4 linked regions of the Mus musculus genome follow. The protein of the gene in region 2 interacts with the protein of the main gene of each other region in a pairwise test. Links are inferred from orthologs where the notes say so. Each region holds a gene or a part of one and is shown on either strand. Other genes may lie near its edges.

Evidence for each region.
Region 1: the proteins of Ube2e2 (region 2) and Rnf103 interact in a two-hybrid assay, tested with the Homo sapiens proteins (2 studies listed by BioGRID). The link is inferred for Mus musculus from reciprocal best matches to the Homo sapiens genes UBE2E2 and RNF103.
Region 3: the proteins of Ube2e2 (region 2) and Znrf1 interact in a two-hybrid assay, tested with the Homo sapiens proteins (2 studies listed by BioGRID and IntAct). The link is inferred for Mus musculus from reciprocal best matches to the Homo sapiens genes UBE2E2 and ZNRF1.
Region 4: the proteins of Ube2e2 (region 2) and Arrdc3 interact in binary tests that used the Homo sapiens proteins (3 or more experiments, as listed by UniProt). The two-hybrid records come from large-scale screens. The link is inferred for Mus musculus from reciprocal best matches to the Homo sapiens genes UBE2E2 and ARRDC3.

The regions. Positions count from the first base shown.
Region 1 is NC_000072.6:71,492,132-71,497,437, reverse strand, and holds the start of Rnf103 (E3 ubiquitin-protein ligase RNF103), read right to left. Parts: upstream 3,562-5,306; 5' UTR 2,776-3,561; coding exon 2,550-2,775; intron 608-2,549; coding exon 468-607; intron 1-467. UniProt on the Homo sapiens protein: Acts as an E2-dependent E3 ubiquitin-protein ligase, probably involved in the ER-associated protein degradation pathway.
Region 2 is NC_000080.6:18,886,621-18,891,396, forward strand, and holds part of Ube2e2 (ubiquitin-conjugating enzyme E2 E2), read right to left. Parts: intron 1,830-4,776; coding exon of another isoform or gene 1,822-1,829; coding exon 1,646-1,821; intron 1-1,645.
Region 3 is NC_000074.6:111,534,723-111,540,003, forward strand, and holds the start of Znrf1 (E3 ubiquitin-protein ligase ZNRF1), read left to right. Parts: upstream 1-1,917; 5' UTR 1,918-2,418; coding exon 2,419-2,842; exon of another isoform or gene 2,843-2,927; intron 2,928-3,579; exon of another isoform or gene 3,580-3,611; coding exon of another isoform or gene 3,612-3,744; intron 3,745-5,281. UniProt on the Homo sapiens protein: E3 ubiquitin-protein ligase that plays a role in different processes including cell differentiation, receptor recycling or regulation of inflammation. Mediates the ubiquitination of AKT1 and GLUL, thereby playing a role in neuron cells differentiation.
Region 4 is NC_000079.6:80,881,781-80,887,136, forward strand, and holds the start of Arrdc3 (arrestin domain-containing protein 3), read left to right. Parts: upstream 1-1,641; 5' UTR 1,642-1,869; coding exon 1,870-2,149; intron 2,150-3,888; exon of another isoform or gene 3,889-4,010; intron 4,011-4,314; exon of another isoform or gene 4,315-4,363; intron 4,364-4,374; exon of another isoform or gene 4,375-5,356. UniProt on the Homo sapiens protein: Adapter protein that plays a role in regulating cell-surface expression of adrenergic receptors and probably also other G protein-coupled receptors.

The sequences.
Region 1 (5,306 bases), on a different chromosome or scaffold from region 2:
TCTGTCTGTTGATTCTCAAGACAACCCTCCCCCTCTCCCCAATCTTTCCTTTTCCACTCTTTACTTTTTACTTTTTTTTTTTTTTTTTTTTCAAAGACAGGATCTCATGTATCCTACCTAGGCTGGCTTTGAACTCCTTATGCAGCTAAGGAAGACCCTGAAGCTCTGGGTCCCTGTTTCTGCTTCCTGTGTGTGTGATTTCCTGTGTGCGGCACCATAGCCTGACCTAGGTGGTGCTAGGGATTGGAGGCAGGATTTCATGCATGCACACCACTTCCATTTCACTTCAGTACTCCACCAACTGAGCCACAGCTCCTCATCTATTTGTCATTATCATCGGTTTAAAAAACCCTATGAGAACTGAGTTTTGCCTAGGAGGCAAACAGGAGGATACAAGAGAAGAGTTACTCAGTGGTAAATACTATTTTGGTATAAATAAGGTTCTTAAGTATTATCATCCTTTCTACCTGAACCAGCCAGATGCCATCTTTTGTGTCTTCCACAAGCTCATAGAAATGCATTTCACCACTGAAATTGGTACTAGAAACAGACTCAGATGCCTCTTCTTCCTTAAGAGCAGAATAGAGTTCACCTTCCATCAAGTCACCTGAAGGAAAAAATAAAAACCCTGGTAAGGTTTCAAAAATCCCATGTTCTCAACTTCAATGATTAATACCATTTTACATCATGAATAAGCACACTATTATATTTTTATTCTACAAAATTCAATAGCTTTTGAATACATCAGCAAAAAATGAAAAAAAAGACAACAATTCATCTCTTATAGTAGTGCATATATTCTAATGGGGTCATCATATAGCTTGTTAGTAAATTACTAATTACATCAGTCCAAAAAGAAATCCTCTCAAATTAGTAATCATTTAATTTTACATAAAGCCTGCACAGGCTTCACATGATTTTTCAAAGCTTGGTTTATGTTGTTACTCGAAAGGTTTAGAAAAGGGTTCACAGAATTTGCTATCAGCCTGCTTATAAATGGCAACAAGGTTTTTATGTGACTGGGAGAGAAAGAATGTTACCTATCAGAACAACAAACCCCACATTCATAGACAAGTTTACAGTGTAAACGTGGCTCTTGTATAATTAAATATAAAAAAGCAAACCATTCATGTCACATTATCTAACCTTTGCCTTAAATATTACATGGTGATATTCCAGTTCCATTCCAAACAGCAAAACCATCCACAACAAACATTTAGGTTTCACAGTTAAATTGCCATACCAAGACTGTTTTTTGTTGTTCTTATGCTGTTAAAATGTGTGATCTGAATCATACTTTGGTTGTATAGTCTTTAGGCTATGTGTGGATTCTTTGTACATTCCATATGACAACAATTTTAGGCTCAAATGGCAGCAAAATATCTAACATAAAGCTCCAAGGGGAAAGCCTGTGTGATCAAATAACTGTATGAGATTGCTAACCCACTCCCCCCACCCCACCCCACCCCCCAGCCCCAACAACCAATGGCAGCATAAACCTGGTGCAAACAAGAGCAATAATAATAACCACTTGAAAAATGTATCCCTTACGCAAAGGACTCCTTCCTTCTATCTCACTGGCGAGATGAGTTCTGTAACCCTTATGCTATAAGTATGTAAGTGTCAGACTGATAAACGTTGTCATCTTGCCTATCACACTATTTGTCTAGATAGTACTACCCAAGGGGGAAAAAATGGTCTTCTAAAAGGCCCCGCTGATGATATACTTGAAAGGACAAAACAAGATAATCATAAGTTTCCAATGCTTCCTACATCACCTCAGAAGGCCTTTCTTAATTTACATTCCTCTTTCAGGAAAACTATCTAAACAAGGAGACACTTTAAAGTTAACTGTATTTCCCCACCCAATCCTACCCCAAATCAACGGCTACATTAAATATTCTTTCAGCACTATTTCAAGTCTTTTCCTCAACCCATTAAGTGACGCAGAGATGCCTGTGACACATGACAAGAAAGGTAAGTCAAGATTCAAAAATAAAATGTATAATCTGCAAGAAAATATTTACTCTAAACAAGGCCAACAGCCACACAAAATGTTCACTAAAGTATAAAAAGCAATATTGCACTGTGTACACCTTACCTATAATTAAATGCATAATTTACACGTAAATCTTTAGGTCCACGTGCCTTTTGTTATTATTTTAATGATGTTTTACCCTCCTGGTAGCTTGTTTTTATTGTGGATGCAGATGCTGCTATTTACAGACTATGTTTTGTAATTTTTCCTTTCTCTATAATCAATTTCAACTGACGTTCCTGAATTCTGGGACAAATGATTCAATTTAATGATTTTTTTTTAAAGCTACACTTTCAAACTGTCATTTCCAAAGAGCCTTTGGAACACACCAATACACCTAACAGTTGTCTTTTCCAAACCGAGATTTACATATTTATTTAGAAAACGTAGACAAAGATGACCTGGGCAGCTCTCTGGAGCAGTCTGTTTAACCATTCTGGGGACCGCCTAATTCTGGGGAGTGGGTAAGAGCCAGGACAGTGGAGGCGACCTCCAGGAGCCCAGCACTTGCCTGACTTCTCCACCAGCTCCCGAACATCTTTCTTCTCCGGCAGCCCGGAGTAGCCCAGCCCTCGACACTCCAGAATGGTCTTCAGCTTCTTGAAGCTCAATGCCACCGGATCCACCAGCTGAGTAGCAAAGATGCCAGTCTCGTACCACACAATGGCCTCAAAAAACCTGGCCAGGACGAACAGGACCAGGAAATACAGGAGCAAGAAAAACAGCTTCAGCCACATCTTCGCCCTCTTGGCGTCGCCAGGAGCCGGGACGCCGTGGACAAGGGAAGGGGATCGAGTGCGGGGCGACAGAGCGCAGCCTGGGCGAGGGCAGCGAGGGCGCGCGGCGGTCACCGGCGGGCCATCCCCGCGGGGAGGCAGGTGGATCGCGGCGTGCGTGCGACTGAGAGCCCCGGCTCTGGCCTTGCGGTCAGGAGCTGAGAAAGGGAGAAGGGGGGACGTTCAAACGCACCCCACCCATCGAGCTGCGGACGGCTGGAAGAGGGCAAGAGCCCACCTGGGGTGACCGGGAGGCAGCTCCGAGGGACTGCGGGCCAGCGGAGGGCGGTTGGGGCCGGACTGAGTGGTCCAGAGGGCGCGGTACTCGGCTGGGCCAGGCCCGGGGCCCGGCGCGCCCAGCGCGGGTTGGAGTGACCGCCGCAGCGCCGCGCCGAACGCCCAGGCTTCAGGCCCCGGCGGCCGCCCAGGCCTGGCGGCAGCTCCAGGTTCCCGCGGGCGGCGCCTATCAGGCCCCGCGGCCCGCGAGGGGGCGTCGCGGCGGCTCCCGCTGAGGAGGAGCGCGAGACGACAGTCGTGAAGGGAGGAAAAAAAGAGGAAAAAGCAAATAACGCTAGGCCCCAACGCGGCTCTCCCGGGCGGCTTCCTGTCAGCTGCGTAGCCGCGCGGTGCCCAGCCCCGTGCGGACGCGCCGCGCCAACCGCGGCCACCGTCCCTGCCGCCTCTGCAGGCCGCGGCCGTCGCCCCCAGAGCACTGGACCCGCTGTAGCCGCGGCCCCAGTCAAGACATAACAACTGACGTCGGCATCGGGGCGGGGTCTCGGCAGGGGCGGGGTTAGAAGCCGCGGGGTGCAAGGGGAGAGAGGGGCTGCGGGAGGCTGGGCTGGGTAAACCTTCCGAGTTACTGTGCTCTCGCGGTCCCAGCCCTCTGATGCGCTGATGTTTAGTCACTGATTTCAGTCCCAGGATTGGACATTGGACCCTGCGACACTGTGCACCTTTGTGCTGAGCGTGAAAAATAAAGGCTGCTAAAAGATGTTCGTTTTTGTTTGTGGTTTTTGTTTTGTTTTGAGACACTGCCTTATTAAATAGTCCTGGCCCGCCTGGAACCGCTCTGAACACCAAGCGGGCCTCAGAATTCAGAGATTGCCTGCCAGGCATGGAAGTGCTGGGATTAAAACCGTGCACCGCCGGGCGTGGTGGCGCACGCCTTTAATCCCAGCACTCGGGAGGCAGAGGCAGGCGGATTTCTGAGTTCGAGGCCAGCTTGGTCTACAGAGTGAGTTCCAGGACAGCCAGGGCTACACAGAGAAACCCTGTCTCGAAAACCCAAAAAAAAAAAAAAAAAAAAAAAAAAAACCGTGCACCACCACACCCACCCAAATCATCAAGATCTGTAAAAATCAGAATCTGTGTTTTAAGTCCAGTCCCTGTCAACCGCGGATGCTTTTGGGTTTTTCTTTTGTTTAGTTTTTTGTTCGGGGTGGGGTGGGGGGGAGGGGTGGCACAGCTGGCTTGAGGTGCTTGAGGTGAAACTCTGAAAACAGATGTTTTTCTACCTTTGCTTTAGAATGCGATTTTCACATGTGTGTTGGAGGAGGTATGGCCAAAAAGAATTTTAGTATGTGATCCAGTTGTGGCTAGTCTCCTAGAGGGTTAAAAAGTAGACAATGAAGGTCTGAGTTGTCAGGACAAAAGTTGTTAGGTGTGGTTAGGTCCAGGTGCAAAGGTCTGTGTGTTTTAGCCAGCCAGAAGAACTCATATAAAATGAGTTTGACAGGCAAGCGTATGGTACCTGGTTCCGTGTTTATTTAACTCTAGCAGGGTCATGTTCTCTCTCTCTCTCTCTCTCTCTCTCTCTCTCTCTCTCTCTCTCTGTCTTTCTCCCTCTCTCTGTCTTTCTCCCCCACTCTGTCTCTCTCTCTCTGTTTCTGTGTGTGTGTGTGTGTGTGTGTGTGTGTGTGTACGCGCGTGTGTGTGCATGTGTGCGTGTGTGTGAGTCTTCTTGATCAGGAAAACAAGTAGGAATTCCAGGTGAAATGTTAGCCAGCAAGGAAAAGCATGAACAACCCTAAACCAGGGGTGAAATTTTTAGGGAGAGAGTGTGACCCTCAATCAGGGAGCAAATGAGCCATGGAAAACAAAGAATGGATCATAAAATGTAGACAAAGGATAGTACCCCTTTATAACGCAGTTAACAAAGGCATCTCGGTGTACAGCTAGTGGAGGAGCTAGGAAGGAAGAAGCCTAGGAGCAGGGTGGGCAGGAATGTACAGCTTCAGACTTACAGAACAGTGTGGTGGTTTTCCAGGGCAGCAGACCACGTGGAGACTGTATTAAACTGTTCCTGCTGACAGACTTGGCTCTGTAATTTCAGCATTCTTGATTTCACAGTATAGCACTGTTATATGGTGGCATTGCTAGTCAAGTCTAAACACATAAATGATATGCCTTGCCTCGAAGGAATGCATTTTAGTAATAATAGACTCTGTCAATACACAGAGGCAATAACAGAAAAGAAGAACAGGTAGGGA
Region 2 (4,776 bases):
CTGATCTTTCTTGTCTACCCTGCCCCAGCCCTACTTGGCAGGAGCAGGTCACTTTATGTTGTGCCATAGAAGGAGAGAGATCACCGTGAGAAGTCTCCTTGGACATGGGGTATAACAGCATAAAGAAACAAAAGCATTTTCCCTGCCCTATCATGTTCCAATCTAAACTGGTGAATACCTGGAGCTATCTGACTTCATGTAATTCCCTCAACAGTAGTAAGAGATCCTGGCAAGGAAAAAGTGAATATTCAGGAAGCATACACAGGGACAGGCTGCATGCATCTAGGACAGCTAGGACTGTGGTCTAAAACATTTGTAGAGCATGCTACCAAAAGGCTGGACATCCTACATCTAGCTGGTTTAAATGGCTTGCTGACCAGTCACCATAACTCTCACCAGAGGGCCTGCAAAGATTCATCCCAGGCCTGTGGATAGGAGAAGTTGGAAGGACACACAGTTTTTGTTTTTATAGGAAAGGAGTTCCATAATTCCTATTATCCAATGGCTCATAAAGCTGTCATCCAACATTCGGAGAGTTTCCTGTACCTGAAGTTATGTGTAGTGAAAAGAATGTTAATGTTAATGTTAATGTTAAGCCCTACTTCTTATTTGGTATTTTTATTTTTTAAAATGTATTAAAGAGTATAAAATCACAAACAAACGTGAGTCCACTGAATATAATCTGCCTTTCAAATTATCTTCCAAGCACCAAGCTATGATGTAACCTTATCAAATCAGATTCCCTCTAAGCCCGCCGACATGCCAATCACTGTAAGTGGTTAAAGTAGTGATAGACCAACATCCAAGTACCTCTTTCAAGATCTTTCTGTCTTCTAGGGAAAGAAGAAATCTGCATCAGGAGCAACCCACCACCACTACCACCTAATGTAATGAACTCAAGATGCATTAATACTAGCATTTCTGACCTTACCAACAAGGAGATTAGATACTAAATTATCACTTAATAATTACTTCAACAGATTGTGTGTGTTCATGTGCATGTATGTGTTAGCCACAGAAGTTATCTCCCCTATCACTCCCTGTTTGTATTGGTTCAGTTTTCATTGTTGCTTAGACAGGATCTCTTCACTAAATCTGGAGCTCATTAACTGGACAAGATTTGATTGCCAATAAGCTATAATAATCCACCTGTGTCCAACACACACACACACACACACACACACACACACACACATACCACACACACCTCCTCTCAGAGCGCTGGGATTACAAATGTGCATACCATTCCCAGTTTTTATATGGGTGATGCTAATCTAAACTCAGCAACCAACACTGTTCTCACTAAGCCATCAGCCTCACTCCCCAGCCCCAGCCAAGAGATTCTCAATGCCAATTCTGTGTCATTGAGCATATATTCACAATCAAATAACCATAAATCAAATTATACGTTTATAATGTCCTACCCACATTTTCTATCAAGATATAAATATTTCAAAACACTACAAGTGCCAATTTTATAATATGCCATGACTTTAAAAAGGTTTCCACAATTAAAAAGCACATTTTTAAAAGACCACATCATATAAAAGGGGAGACAATCTATAAACCCTATGACCTTCAGTCCAGAAAATCAACTAAGTACAAGGAAGGAAATTCAAATGAAGTGCTAACAACGGCTGGCTACCTTTTGGCACTGGTTGACAGTTTCGCGGCTGTCTTGCTGGATATCTTCCCCTCCTTTTTCTTAGGCTGAACTTGTTCTCGATCAGGTTCCTGCTGAACGCTCTCCCGCTGATCTCCATCAGAACTTCCTCCACTAGTGCTTGGACTGTCATCAACTCTCTGCGCCTCAGTGGACATCTTAGATCCTGGATTAAAGAATGGCATGTCATTTATTCTGCTGTGGTAGGGACTACAACAAGGTATGTTCATAATGAAGAGAAACAGAGCCCATGAAACAAAAGAAGTATAATTAGGTATAAAAATGAGAATTGCCCATTTATAGAACAAATAACTCTGGGGTTTGCTAAAACCTCTCTTCTCTGCATTCATGGAAAATTTAGAAACAAATGTTGGTAGCAATTTTATTCACAAGGCAGAAAGTAAAAACAATTCAAATGTTCTCTAATTGACGGGTAAAGCATGGTGCATCCACATGACAATATACCTCAGGCACAGAAACAAATGAAGTCTGGCATCTGCAAGCTTCAGCAGAAAGATCTTGAATCTTTATGCTAAGTGAGCGAAGCCAGCCAGAAGGACCAGACTGTACAAGCTCATTTGTAAGGAATGTCTAGACAGGTACATGGTGGGAATGTAGAGACAGTACAGGAAAGTGTTTTCTAATGGGCAGAAAGTTTCTACTGAGTGATAATAATATTCTTAAATTAACTAGTGCTTATAGTAGAAAAGCCTCGGAGTTCTGCTTTGCTTTGTACTGCTGAGGACTCAACTCAGGATCTTGGCATGATAGGCAGGTGCTGCCATTGAGCTACCTGCAATCCCTAGGCTAAGTTATACCTTTTAAGATGGCAGCCTTGGGGCTGGAGGGGCATTTTGGACAGTGCACACTCAGCAAAGTTCAACCGCCAGCATTTACAAAAATGGAGGGGGTTACTTTTATAAGGTAAATTATATCTCAAAAGAACTGGCACAAGATAAACCAGAAGGGGTTGGAGAGAGAGTTCAGGGGTTATGAAAACTGGCTGCTCTTCCAGAGAGACTGGAATCAATTCCTAACACACACATGGTAACTCACAATGGGCTATAGCTCCAGTTCCAGGTGATATGACACCCTCTCTGGCCTCCCTCGGCACCCAGGCATATATATGGTGCACGACATACATGCAAACAAACATCGATACACAGAATATAAAATAAGTATTTTAAATAGGGGGGGGGGGGGAGAGAAAGGACTGAGAGCCTAATTTTTATAGGCACTGGGAGAAGCATTTTGGGCTCAGCTATGAGATGTCCAGACAGGTAAAGAGACCTGCAAAGTGTCCTGACAAGTCGGTGTAAAAAGGCACAGGGCTGAGAGAGAGTGGTACTGCCACGCTAATATCCAATCAATACATCCTTAGAGCTGAGCCAAGCTTAAAATCCTCTAAGCTGGGAAATTGTTTTAAGTAACCTTTGTGATAACAGAACAGAAACCATGTGATCCTAAATAAGAACTGAAGCTTAGGAGGGTGTGGGCTCTGATCCAGCTCGACTAGGCAACCATGTTGCACAACAGATAGAGAGTGTACCGAGACACTGAAGGATTCCTTTTTTCCCAGTCTGGAGGAAATCTCCCTAGAGGTTCAGAATTCACTTTGCTTTGAGTTCATGCTCCTGGAGCAGCTCTGATGACTAACTCAATTCCCGTAATACTTTGATACCTAGGTAGCCGTTATAACCTAGATAGTGACACAAAAATGCACTGAGAAATGGATAGCCCTTCTCCAATCTCATTGTATTATAATCAGCCCCAGGTTGGTCCTTACTATCACATCCTGTATGACCTAACAAGCTGACAGACCTAGAATGAAACTGACAAAAGTCATGTTCAGACTCTACAGGGCCTCAAGTCACCAGTAATCACTTTGAGTATCATATAGCTTCAGCTCAGACATGCTTTTGAAAAACGAGACTGCCTGTGACTAGAGTCATCACCACCACCAGCACTACCACCACCACCACCACCATCAAGGGTAAAACACACATACATGGGGAAGGGAAGAGATAAAGAGAAAGAGTTTTATCCAAAGTCCTCTTGAAAAGGATCCATTTTGGTTACTCTTAAATTAAGACTGAAATAAAACTGTTGTTGACATGGTCAAGAGCAAACTTCAGTACACACAAAAAACAGACACTTCAAATACAATTTATTATTATCATTACCTAGTTCAAAGGCATGACCCAGTACTTCTGATCAACATTCATCACCATCAGCTCATCCTAGAGTTTATTCAAAACCATGGTAGCTTTTCTAAATGCAGGCCTTTAACAGACTGAAAGTTTTCTATGAGAAGCTTATAAGACAAATATGCACAGCACAGTACTGGAAGAAGCAGGAAGCACAGCGATAAAGCATCAACAGACACTACATATGACATGACCATCCTCATCCCTAGTCCCTTTGTTCATGACATCCAGTAAGTCTGTCCAAATAGCTCTCACACACTCACAGGACATTGAGACTGCTCTCCCTCTCTCTTGTAAGTGGAGAGCATCATTCCCCACGGCTAAGACACCTTTTATGAGCAATAAAGTCACTTAACAGAATACCGAAATTTTATGTCTCTATGTTTCATGTCTAGCTCTAAAAGCCTGAGTATATTTCTTGGGTTTTCTTATTTGACTTTAACATTCTTATTATTGGATTTAATATTTGTATTCTTTCTCAGCTTGCTTCTTTGAGTTAAAATATATCTAAAGTTAAAAACCTTGTAAGTATGTGCTATATAGCATGCTAGCTAAGCAGGCTTATGTATAAGCAGGGAAACAGAAAGAAGCATTCTTAGGATTAGATGCTCTCAAGGTAGGGTACTGTGAGCAAACTTTTAAGAGATGTGAAATCAGTGAGAAATTGTTCTATGTATCCTAAACCTGAGGCAATCCATCACATGGCAAACACAAGAACTCTAGAAAAGTAGTTGCCTTACACTGCAAGCACAGCTGTGACTGCTGTGTGCTGCATCAGTCATGAAGTGCACACATTTCAATACTCTTTTGTGCACACCTAGTAATGTGTAAACTATATAATACTGAATAGACTATGCAATGATGTAATGGGCCATAATCTGAAACTGAAATTTCCTCAACTACTTC
Region 3 (5,281 bases), on a different chromosome or scaffold from region 2:
GGGTTTCTTTGTATAGCCCTGGCTGTCCTGGAACTCACTTTGTAGACCAGGCTGGTCTGGAACTCAAAAATCCGCCTGCCTCTGGCTCCCAAGTGCTGGGATTAAAGGCATGTGCCACCATGCCCGGCTACTAATTTTTTTTTATATATGAATGACTGTATGTATGCATGTATCATGCCTCTGGGGTTATGGATGGCTGTGAATCACCACATAGGTGCTTGGGATGAACCTGGGGCCTCTCTAAGAACAAACGCTCTTAACCCCTGTGCCAACTCTCCAGCCCCTAGATACACACACGCAATTTGGTTTTTTGTAACAGAGTTTCTGTGTGGCCTTAGCTGTACTGGAACTTGGTTTGTAGACCAGGCTGGCATGGAATTCAGAGATTGTCCTGCCTCTACCTCTCGAGTGGTGGGATTAAGGTGAGCACCACAGCCATGAAAATTTTTGCATTGGCTTTTCTTTTTCTTTTCTTTTCTTTTCTTTTTTTTTTCGAGACAGGGTTTCTCTGTATAGCCTTGGCTGTCCTGGAACTCACTCTGTAGACCAGGCTGGCCTCGAACTCAGAAATCCTCCTGTCTCTGCCTCCCAAGTGCTGGGATTAAAGGCATAGGCCACCACTGCCCAGCTTGTTCGAAGCTTTTAGCTCACCCCCAGCACTCTGTGCTTGCAAACAACCATCTTTCTGTGGCCTTCCAGGCTAGTCACACTGGAAGAGACAAGTCTATTAGCCCCTTTAAATCTCCCTCCAATTCCATTTTCGGAAGCACGGAGCCCACTTGACAGAGTGACAAGAGAAGGTCAGGTTAGTGACTGGGTGATGCTTACGGTGCTCAGAGCTGAGCACTTGAAAAATTATTTGCTCAAAGAATAAGCAAAGTGAAAATATGAGAAAGACTGGGACTGACCTGGCAAGGTGAGTCTCTGTTGCAAAATGCAATTTGGTCAACAAATATTTATTGAGTACTGTGCCCTTGCCTTGTGGCTCTATGTCAAAATATGGCTCTATGTCAAAATACATGATAAACAAAACAGCAATCGGCCTTGGGCAAGGAGTTTCTAAAACAGCTTTCCCGCTGCATGGTTCTTACTTTTTTTTTTTTTTTAATCCACCTATTGATTTTGAGGATTATATTCTAGCCTAAGGAATCGATTCAGACCCAAATAGTTGGTTCTGATCTAACGACAGCAAAGTCTAGGCGCCACTGGGGCACTGTTGTATCTCCTAACAGCTAATCCCAAATGTGTTTGGGTCCAAGCTGATTCCCTCCTCCCCCCCCCCCCCCGCCCCCCATGCTAAACTTCCTAAGGTTGGCTGGGGTCCTTGGATGGAGAACCTCCAAACGAATGGACAGCATATCCACCAGAGGGTGCTGTGAGGGCAGGTCTGTGGCGGGAGGGGAGCTCCCCCAGTGACCCTTCAAACCCAGGTAGGCTTTATTAGTTGGTTTTTCTTTCTTCTCGGTGTTTCCTTCCTACCCGCTAAAACCGTCGTTACCCCTCCCCCCACTCAGGGTCTCGTTTTGAAGACATTGATTCGACTTTCGCCGCGACTCCAGCAGAGCTGTGATCCAGAGGAAGTCTGACCTCTGTCGCAGACGCCCGGCGGCTGGAGACGTCCTGTCCCTGGACCGCCCGGGGCGCAGGCGGTAGGTGGGTGGGGACCTCCAAGGCCGCAGCTCGCTGCTGCGCCGCAGGGGCCGCGAAGGGGTTAACCCGGCGGGGGGGGGGGTGCGGGAGGAGGGAGGGGGCGCGGGCCGCGCGTGCGCTCTGCCGCCCTCCATTGTCTCCACGGCGGCGAGGAGCGCCGGCGAGCGCAGCCCGGGACGGAGCGGGGCGGTGCGGCTGGCTGGCGGGGCCGGCGGCGGCTGGAGCCGGAGCGCGACGCCACGCGACCGCGGCTTCCAGAGCTCCGCCTGGCTGCCCCACCGCCGCGAGCCCTCCCGAAGCCTGGAGGAGTGAGGGCCGCCGGCGCGGGCTGAGGAGTCCTGAGACGGGGGACGCGAACGGCGCGGCGCCCGGAGCCTCCGCCGCTTCCTGCTGCGGGCGAGCGGCCTCCTCCGGCTCCTCCCTCCCTTCGCTGCGGCTCCTTAGGCTCCGGAGCCCGGGGGCGGCCTGTGGCGCGAGGCGCCGGCTCTGGACCGCGCTTCTTCGGACCTTAAGGGGAACATGCATTCGGCTTGGACAGTTTGAAATTCTTAGTTTGGGGTCCCCGCTCGCTTGCTTTTTCCACCCCGCGGATTTTTTTTGAGGATTCCCCCCCTCACCTTTTTTCATTTTTCTCCCCTCGGGGCTCTTTTGTGACTCTCCCCAACCCCAACCCTCCGCCTTTATGTTCGCCCAGACCTCCACCCGCTTCTGAGTAGTGGGGGAGGGTTTCAGCCTCCACGTTCCCGCCCCACCGGGGCCCCGGCGAACATGGGGGGCAAGCAGAGCACGGCGGCCCGCTCTCGGGGCCCCTTCCCGGGGGTCTCTACGGATGACAGCGCCGTGCCGCCGCCGGGAGGGGCGCCCCACTTTGGGCACTACCGGACGGGCGGCGGGGCGATGGGGCTGCGCAGCCGCTCGGTCAGCTCGGTGGCGGGCATGGGCATGGACCCCAGCACGGCCGGAGGGGTGCCCTTTAGTCTCTACACCCCCGCCTCCCGCGGGACCGGCGACTCCGAGAGGGCGCCGGGCGGCGGAGGGTCCACGTCGGACTCCACCTATGCCCACGGCAATGGTTACCAAGAGACCGGCGGCGGTCACCATAGAGACGGGATGCTGTACCTGGGCTCCCGAGCCTCGCTGGCGGATGCTCTACCTCTGCACATCGCACCCAGGTGGTTCAGCTCGCACAGTGGTGAGTCCGCGGGTGACGGAGGCCTTGAAGGGTGGAGTGCAAGGGAGGGCGCGCCGGGGCGCCCGAAACCTCTTAATGTGCTAAGGTATGGGTATGAAGCTAACTCCTGCCCTTCCCCTGGTTCCTTCCATGTCAGAGGATGAATAGGATCAAATAAGATAACTACTGCCTAGGGGGAAAGCTGCCTACTAGGCGTGTGGAGCCGGGTACCTTAGGACTGCAGGCATGTGTTCACTTGTGGATGGCTGAGTGAAACCTGCCTATTGAGGTCGCATTTATTAGCGTCATGATCCTCAAAGGTCTTCTTGTCTGAGACTCTTCATTTCTGCCGCTGCAGCATGGTACCTACCTTTCTGGTTAAGGAGGTAGTGTCTCCTAAACAAAGAGTGAGAAAAGAAATAAAACTAGGGGCGAGTGATTCTTGGATTAGGGTTCTTATTCTCGCTAGGAAAGGGAGGTGGTTTGTTTTTCCACCCGACTGGTTTGCTGTATCAATTGTTTAAAATGGAACAGGAGGCTGGCTTAGACAGGTGTGGTCTGCTATGTGGAAAGCCTCCGTCTTTGGGTTTGCAGGACCAGGATTCTGGTCTGCATGCAGTAGATTTGGCTCAGGGATTCTCACATCCCTCCATCTTTTTTCCCCTGCTCCACGATAAGTGCTTGTTCTTCCCGTGATTGTGCATCTTTTTTTTTTTTTTTCTTTTCATAGAGCCCAGGAGAGGTGGGGTGGTATTGCCCCACAGCTGGCACATGACTAGGGAAGAGGAAGATGGAAAGGATGGAGATGAACTCATTCTGTGCACTTCTGGTGACAGGCCAGGAAAAGGCTGGAGGGGGATTTCCCAGGCCCTGGCTGGTGGTAGGGCAGCAAAGGCCTGGCAGAGACTTCTACAGGAAAACAGGTCTGTCTGCTTGGCTGTCCTGAGAAGCCAGGGCAGGCCTCTAGAAAACTGGTCAAAAGGGGTGTGGGGTTGCTGCTTGTTAACTACCAGTCTGAGTGAAGCAGTTAAGTATTCAGACTCTTGTGCCTGAACTGGGCAATTTTTGTTGCTGTGTAGGAGAAATCATTCTCCTGTCCTCAGGGTCCATTATGGAGGGCTTACCTGTGAGGTCACTGTTGTAGCTCATTGCAAAACAAGGTAGGGTTTGTTTTGTCTTGTTTGGTTTTGTATCTTTCCTTCTTTTGATCAATTCCATAATTTTTGAAGTAACTTTGGTGGGTTATAGTGGCTGGCTTAGAGCTTCTTTGACTTTAACTAAAATGCTGGACATCAGACACAAGGCATGTCTGCTTTTGGTACCCTCTAGTCATTTGGTCTGTGTTGGGCATGTTGGAATTAATAATCTTCCCTAAATAGTTGAGTCCAGAAGTCTCAGCTTTATTTCGAGACGATTATGAGTACACTTGTAAGTGAACTGTTATTGGCATGCTTTTAAAACAATTTTGAGTGCAGCAAGCAAATACCTTTATAAAAGCTTATATGGGGAGGGAGAAAAGGAGTTATCGTTTTGGTAAGATTTCTTAAGTCTGTCTCTTAATAGAAACTTCATTATCCTTGTTCTATTGTCAGGTTCTCTGATAGAGTTATGAACTTACAACTGAGTTCCAATATCTCACACTCTCCAGATATGAAGGCTTAGTGTTCTCCCCACCATCTTACTCCCACCCAGTCACGGGAGTAGGGAGTCCCACTGAGTGATGGGAATACAAGAAAAGTTAGAGTCATCCTTTGGGTGTCTTTAAAGTGTACGTGGCAGGCTCTTGTTAACATTATAGGTAATATTTGTATATATTTACTTATTTTTAGTATATAGAACCACCTGTGCTTTTTGCAAGACTCTGGGCCTATTGAATGCTCCTGGCATCCTGCAGTTCACCTCATACTGCCTCTGAATTCCCAAATGGCTTTTATTGGGGTGGGTGTACCAGTCTGACTGTGAGCTGCCTGTGCTGTTCAGCAGAGGTGAGCATTCATTTGTGTCAGTGTTAGAACAGGCCGTGGAATTTTCTGGGGCATCCTTTTCTCTTGTTCTTGGCTGCAAGGAGAGACGCTGCTGTTTCGCTGCTGTCTCGGCTGTGGAGCCTTGGAGTTAGGTCTGAGCAGCTTTTGCTCTTGTGTAAGATTCCAAAGGTGGGGCTTTCAGTGTTTGACTGACTGCGGGCCTGGAAACTGGTACAGTGTTAGTACTTGGGTTTTCAAGGTGCTTTGGTGACTCCTCACAAGCAGAGAGCTGTCATTAAAGAAATAAGTCAAAGCTGTGGGCTTGTGCTGTGTTCCAAAGTAGAATACTGAGGGCTTCCAGTTTTAGGTCCTCTGCTGAGTAACTTTGACCTTGGACAAGACACAGCACTTTTCTCTAGGCTCATCTTTGTTATTTTAAAAATAGATGTGGTAATCCTCCGCGGTGGCAGCTTGTAACGGTTGTTCTCTAAACCCC
Region 4 (5,356 bases), on a different chromosome or scaffold from region 2:
TTCTCGTTGTGCCCACTTTTAACTCCACTCCTTGCTCAATCTTCTGTGGTGTCTAATGCTGAAATCCACCTCATACTGAAGGAAACTTGACATTCTAGCAAAGACGTGGCTGTTACCACTAGGGGGAGAAAAACACCAATAGTATTTGTTACCAACCCTTAGCCCAAGGGTTAGACACTTTACCTGGATTATCCACCAGGTGTCAACCAAGAGAAGAAAGTTGCCCCTACCCCCCACCCCGGACCAAATACACAGATGTGTAATTTTATGCATAAAAAGCTAAACTCTTCTTGGCTTTTCCAGTAATTATTCTTCACATAGTTATATTTTAGGTTTTTTTTTTCAGTTCAAGTGTCAAGTTCAATCTAACTAAACATGTAGATTTTTTTTCTTTTTTAAATAAAGAAAACAGCAAGATGAATGTGTTTAGTTTGTTGTGATTCGACCTATCCAGATTTATCATTCAAAAAAAAAATCTAATGTTTAACTATGGACAACCAACCCCCCACATTTTTTGGTTAGGCATAATACAGGATTTTATAACATAGCCCTGTTATGAGGTTATGTTGATTGTTAATGATCTATTACCCCCTAAATCCTGGTGATGTTTATGACTGAGTATTTTACTCAAGGCATTAAAAAAGGAGAAATGTGCCTGTATTTAAAGATGCAGCACGGCAATTAGCATGTTGAATTAAAAGTAAGGCTTAACAAAATTAAGCCTCACTTATATAACAAATCATACTTAAAAACCAAAAACCACCTTATATGCTTTCCTAAGGCTTTTCAGTCTGTTGTAAACAATGTCAGCTAAATGACTATGTTCAAACCGCCTCTTATGAGGTGGTAATTAGGGGTGTGAGCTCTATTCTTATTCCTGATACAGGAGTTGTAATCGAGTCATTCCCTGCAAAAGGAGCAAAAGGTGATGTCTTGAAAAAGGACTTTTTCTCCCTTCGAGGAAGTGGTCAGGCCTACACACTACACAGACAACTTGATTGGGTTTGATGCTGTAGGAGCTGAAGACGGGAGCTGCCTGGAGCATTGTTCTTTGGCTCCTCAGGCCTTGGCTTAGTCCATTGCCACCCAGCCTACAAAGTCCTGCTTGCTTTTGTTATTTCTATCCAAGTCAACAACGCTTTCTTCTATGAACAATATTTGTCTGCTTTTTATTACGTTTCTTTTGAAATTCATTAGCTCAGACTCGGGCCACCAACCGCTTGCCCAACTGGTTTCTCCCCTTCCCCCACGGCTCGCACGTCCTCCGGGTCCGCGGCCCAGGCGCACACTCCTGGCCTGGCGCCGCCGGGTCCCTCTGCTCAGCTCCGGGAGCGCGTGCGGGGCCGGCGCTGCGGCCGCGGCGGGGGTGGCGGGGGTGGCGGGGGTGGCGGGGGTGGCGGGGGTGGCGGGGGTGGCGGGGTGCCCGCCTGCCAATCGCAGCGGCCCATGCACCGAAGTCGGCGGCGCCCGCTCCACACCTACTGTACCGGGAGCGTGCGGCAAGAGCCGGGCGCGCGCCGCGCGGGAGGGAGCGCGCTGGAAGGCTGGCCGCAGTCGCAGCCTGCGCCTGCGCACTAGGGTTGTTTTTCACAAAGCTGCTCTTAAAGTGAGCTGGCAGCCTCCAGCCGCCCGTCTTTGTAAGGAGACCACTGAGACGAGCAGGAGCGTGGAGCAGCGGCTTCTCTGCTGCCCTGACTTTTTAAGAAATCTCAATGAACTATTTGTAGACAATCACTGATCCTGCCTGCATGATTTTTTTTTCTTGCACGGCAAAGACACCCATCAGTGTTAAGTGAAGATCACATCTTATATGCGATCTTGACTTTTTTTTTGGTCTTACATTATATTTTTATAGATTTTGTTATAATCATGGTGCTGGGAAAGGTAAAGAGTTTGACAATAAGCTTTGACTGTCTTAATGACAGTAATGTCCCCGTGTATTCTAGCGGGGACACTGTCTCAGGAAGGGTAAATTTAGAAGTTACCGGGGAGATCAGAGTAAAATCTCTTAAAATTCACGCAAGAGGACATGCGAAAGTACGGTGGACGGAATCAAGAAACGCCGGCTCCAATACTGCCTATACACAGAATTACACTGAAGAAGTAGAATATTTCAACCATAAAGACATCTTAATTGGGCACGAAAGAGGTAAGTTTTTAATTAGTCACTACATTCGACTTCTTTGCATGAGAACTTTAATCTCATTTAGTGCAGTTCTAATCGGCAGTTTGTTAAAGGTTAGCAAACTTAGAAGCTGTAGTTTCTCCTTGACGTTCAAGCGTGTTAAGCCTTAATCCATGCAGGCGTCTGCAAAGTGAGTGCAAACTGCACTTAACTACATCTGTAACCGGCTTCATATCTGCCATACGCACCTTACAACGTGTTTAAATGTGACTCCGTCGTTTTACTAATATTTTCAAATTCATTTGCAAAAGCTGCAGTCCGATATTGGATTTCCTTTATTTTACAATCTTAGATACAGAAATGAGCTCCAATAAAGAACTGTAGTGACATTTAAGAAGGTTGCTAGATGTATCTGATTTTGATATTAACGTGCAAACGACTTTGAGGACTTGATTATTGTTCTTTGATAAAGGGCTTCCATCCCTTATTTTGACATATGGCACCAACACCCCCACGTGTTTTCCCCCTATTTTTCCCAATTCCCTTTAAAATGTACATCAAGCATCGTTTATTTCAAAGAATAATGTCTATCATTATGCAAACTATTAAGTCAGTTTTAGAAGCCATTCGGGGTCAGTGATTTTCTTCTCGGAGCATCATGTCTAACTTTGGAACGTGGATTCAATGAAACCCATGGCAGACAGATGGAATTGAAAAGTATATGACACATCGGATTTGGGTTTGGGGTATAAGACGAAGATTGAAGCATTGTCAAAGGGAGAAGGGGTCCTGAGATTTGCAATCTGTTGTTTAAGTGCCTACATTGTGGAAATACAGGCGACTCCAAGCTTGTTTTTCTAAGTTTCCACCCTTTGTTAGAAGCGGTTCAATCCTGTTTCGGACCAGTTCTGGGGGATGGTGAGGAGGGGCGCTTGTTCTCCTCTCAGCAGATTGGTTACACGCGTCAGGTGGTGGCGATGACTTAATTCCTAGTCCAAGAAGAATATAATGTTAAAACTGGTTATGTAATTTGTTTCTCCTTTCTAATGCAGTATTTTAGTGCAAATACTGGCGACTTTTCAGATAGAGGAATACTTTGTTTTTTTTTAATATCTAAAATGTACATCCTAGGGAGACGTTAATTGAACTTAAGGCAAGTGGGAAATGGAGGATGCTTTAAGTTACACAGAATTAATGTATCGTCTTTTAAATATGAAGGCGAAGCCAATTCTTAGGGTTTACGCACCTACACCAGGGTATTCCAAATACTGAATGGTTCCCTAGTTCTTTTTTTGCAGCGTCCACACGGATGGGGCGTACAATGCCTAATGACAGCGCTCTCGTTTTTTTTTAAAAAAAAAAAAAAAAAGGGCAGGCACATGAATTTGCTTTTGAGCCTGCTTGGACGTTGCAGCCTTTAATGAAATAAGAAGAGACAAAGACTTTTGCCTCGAAGAGTTCAGACTTGTAGTGGGGGGTATAGATAGAGAGTTCTGTGGACAAACACTTGATCCATTGCACCACGATCTCACGGTTAGGATAACTACCTGCACCCTGCGAGGTGCCCCGGCAAGCCTGGCTACGCGTGGACGGGCTCGCAGGGCTGGAATAGTTTCAATGACTTCAAACTGGCAGCTCGCTCTCAAACTAGCCTGGTAGCTGAGCGCCCGCCCCAGGCGCCCGGCGATAGGCGGAGCAGCGTTTGTTAGCCTGTTGCTAAGGCGATGCCAGGCGTTGATTGGATTGGGCTGGTGGGGGTGGGGAGGATCAAGCCGGCTCGCGCCGGTTGGGGCGAGGCTTGGAACCGGCGTGCGCCGGTAAAGGTCCCTCCTGGCCCGCCACCTCGGCTTCTGGGCGCGCCCCTCGCCCAGCGCAGCCGCCGCAGGTGCCATTGCCTTGGGTGCAGGCTCGGTTCCCACCGGGGACTGAGAAACGTGCGGGCGTCAGGGTCGCCCCGGGGCTGGTACCTGTCTGACCCGAGGGGACGTGACAGAGGCTGGGCATTGCAGAGAACGCTGCGGCCAGCTCGGCCTCGCCCATTATTCCCCCCCGGGCCTTCGCCTCCCTGCCGCCGCCCCAGTTCCCCCCGGCTGTAACTGTGTAGGTGTCAGGGTGGCCTGAGCCAGATTGAACCGGTCACCGGCTGGGGCGTGGAAAGCGGAAGCGCGGCGCGCGGTGGCCCCGCCCCCGGCTCAGCAGGCTAGGCTGCGCGGGCGCGAGCGCCGCGCGACGTATGCCGTATGTATAGCGGGGCGCGCGGAGCGCGGGCGCGAGCGGGCGGGCCGGCTGAGAGCTGCTCAGCGCCGGTTTAGGCCGGTCCTCTCCTGCTCCAGTCTAGTTCTTGATTGACAGCCAGGCACTTGTTTACCACGGCGCGGCGGCCGCCGCTCGCCTCAATGAGACTGCTGAGCTGGCACAAAAGGGAACCGGGAGGAAGAAAGGGAGAGGGAGGCGAAGTTTGAGCGCCTTGGAGGGAGCGAATTGACGGGCCACGGTCCCCTGGCCGGTCCTCAGGGCTGACACTTAGAGGGGCTCCCCAGGAGGCGCGGGCAGGAGTGTGCAGAAATGGGCGGGTCACGATGATTTGGGGAGGAAAATCATATTTTGTATGTATTTTCAGTACTTAGGTGAAGTGTAATGATGCAGCGCCAGCCCCCACCTCCATCCCATTCTAATTAAAAAGGATTGCCCATCAAGTAACGCTAGTAAGACTTTGGTATATTACGGAGAAAGCCAAAAGGACCTTTTCACATTTTTGATTTATTTTCACGACACACACACACACACACACAAATGAATCCGAGCAGAAGAAATGGGTTAAGTGAAAGCTTATACCCCCACCCCGCCCCCGCCCAAGCCCCTACAAATGGAAACTACCCAATTAGACTTAAGGATGTTGAAAAAAATGGTTTCTTTGTAAGCATCTTTTAAATTCTGTGCCTTGTAATTAAACTTATAAAAACAGATTTCAGTCTGCTGCTAAAACCAGTTGAGTGTTGAATATTGTCTAAGTAAACAATTGTATTTAGCTTTTAAACAGTTGCTTACCCCTTTCCTTTTGACAGGGTCCCCTCTGGGTGGCCCTGAGTCCCAGGGGTCCTCCCAACTCTGCTTCCAGGGTGGAACTGGAACAGTCTTCTCTAGAAAGCCAGTAGCCATCAAAAACTGGCAATTTGAAAAGTATTCTACGATTTTTGTTTTACTCGCACTTAAGTAAACAACTGGTGGCCA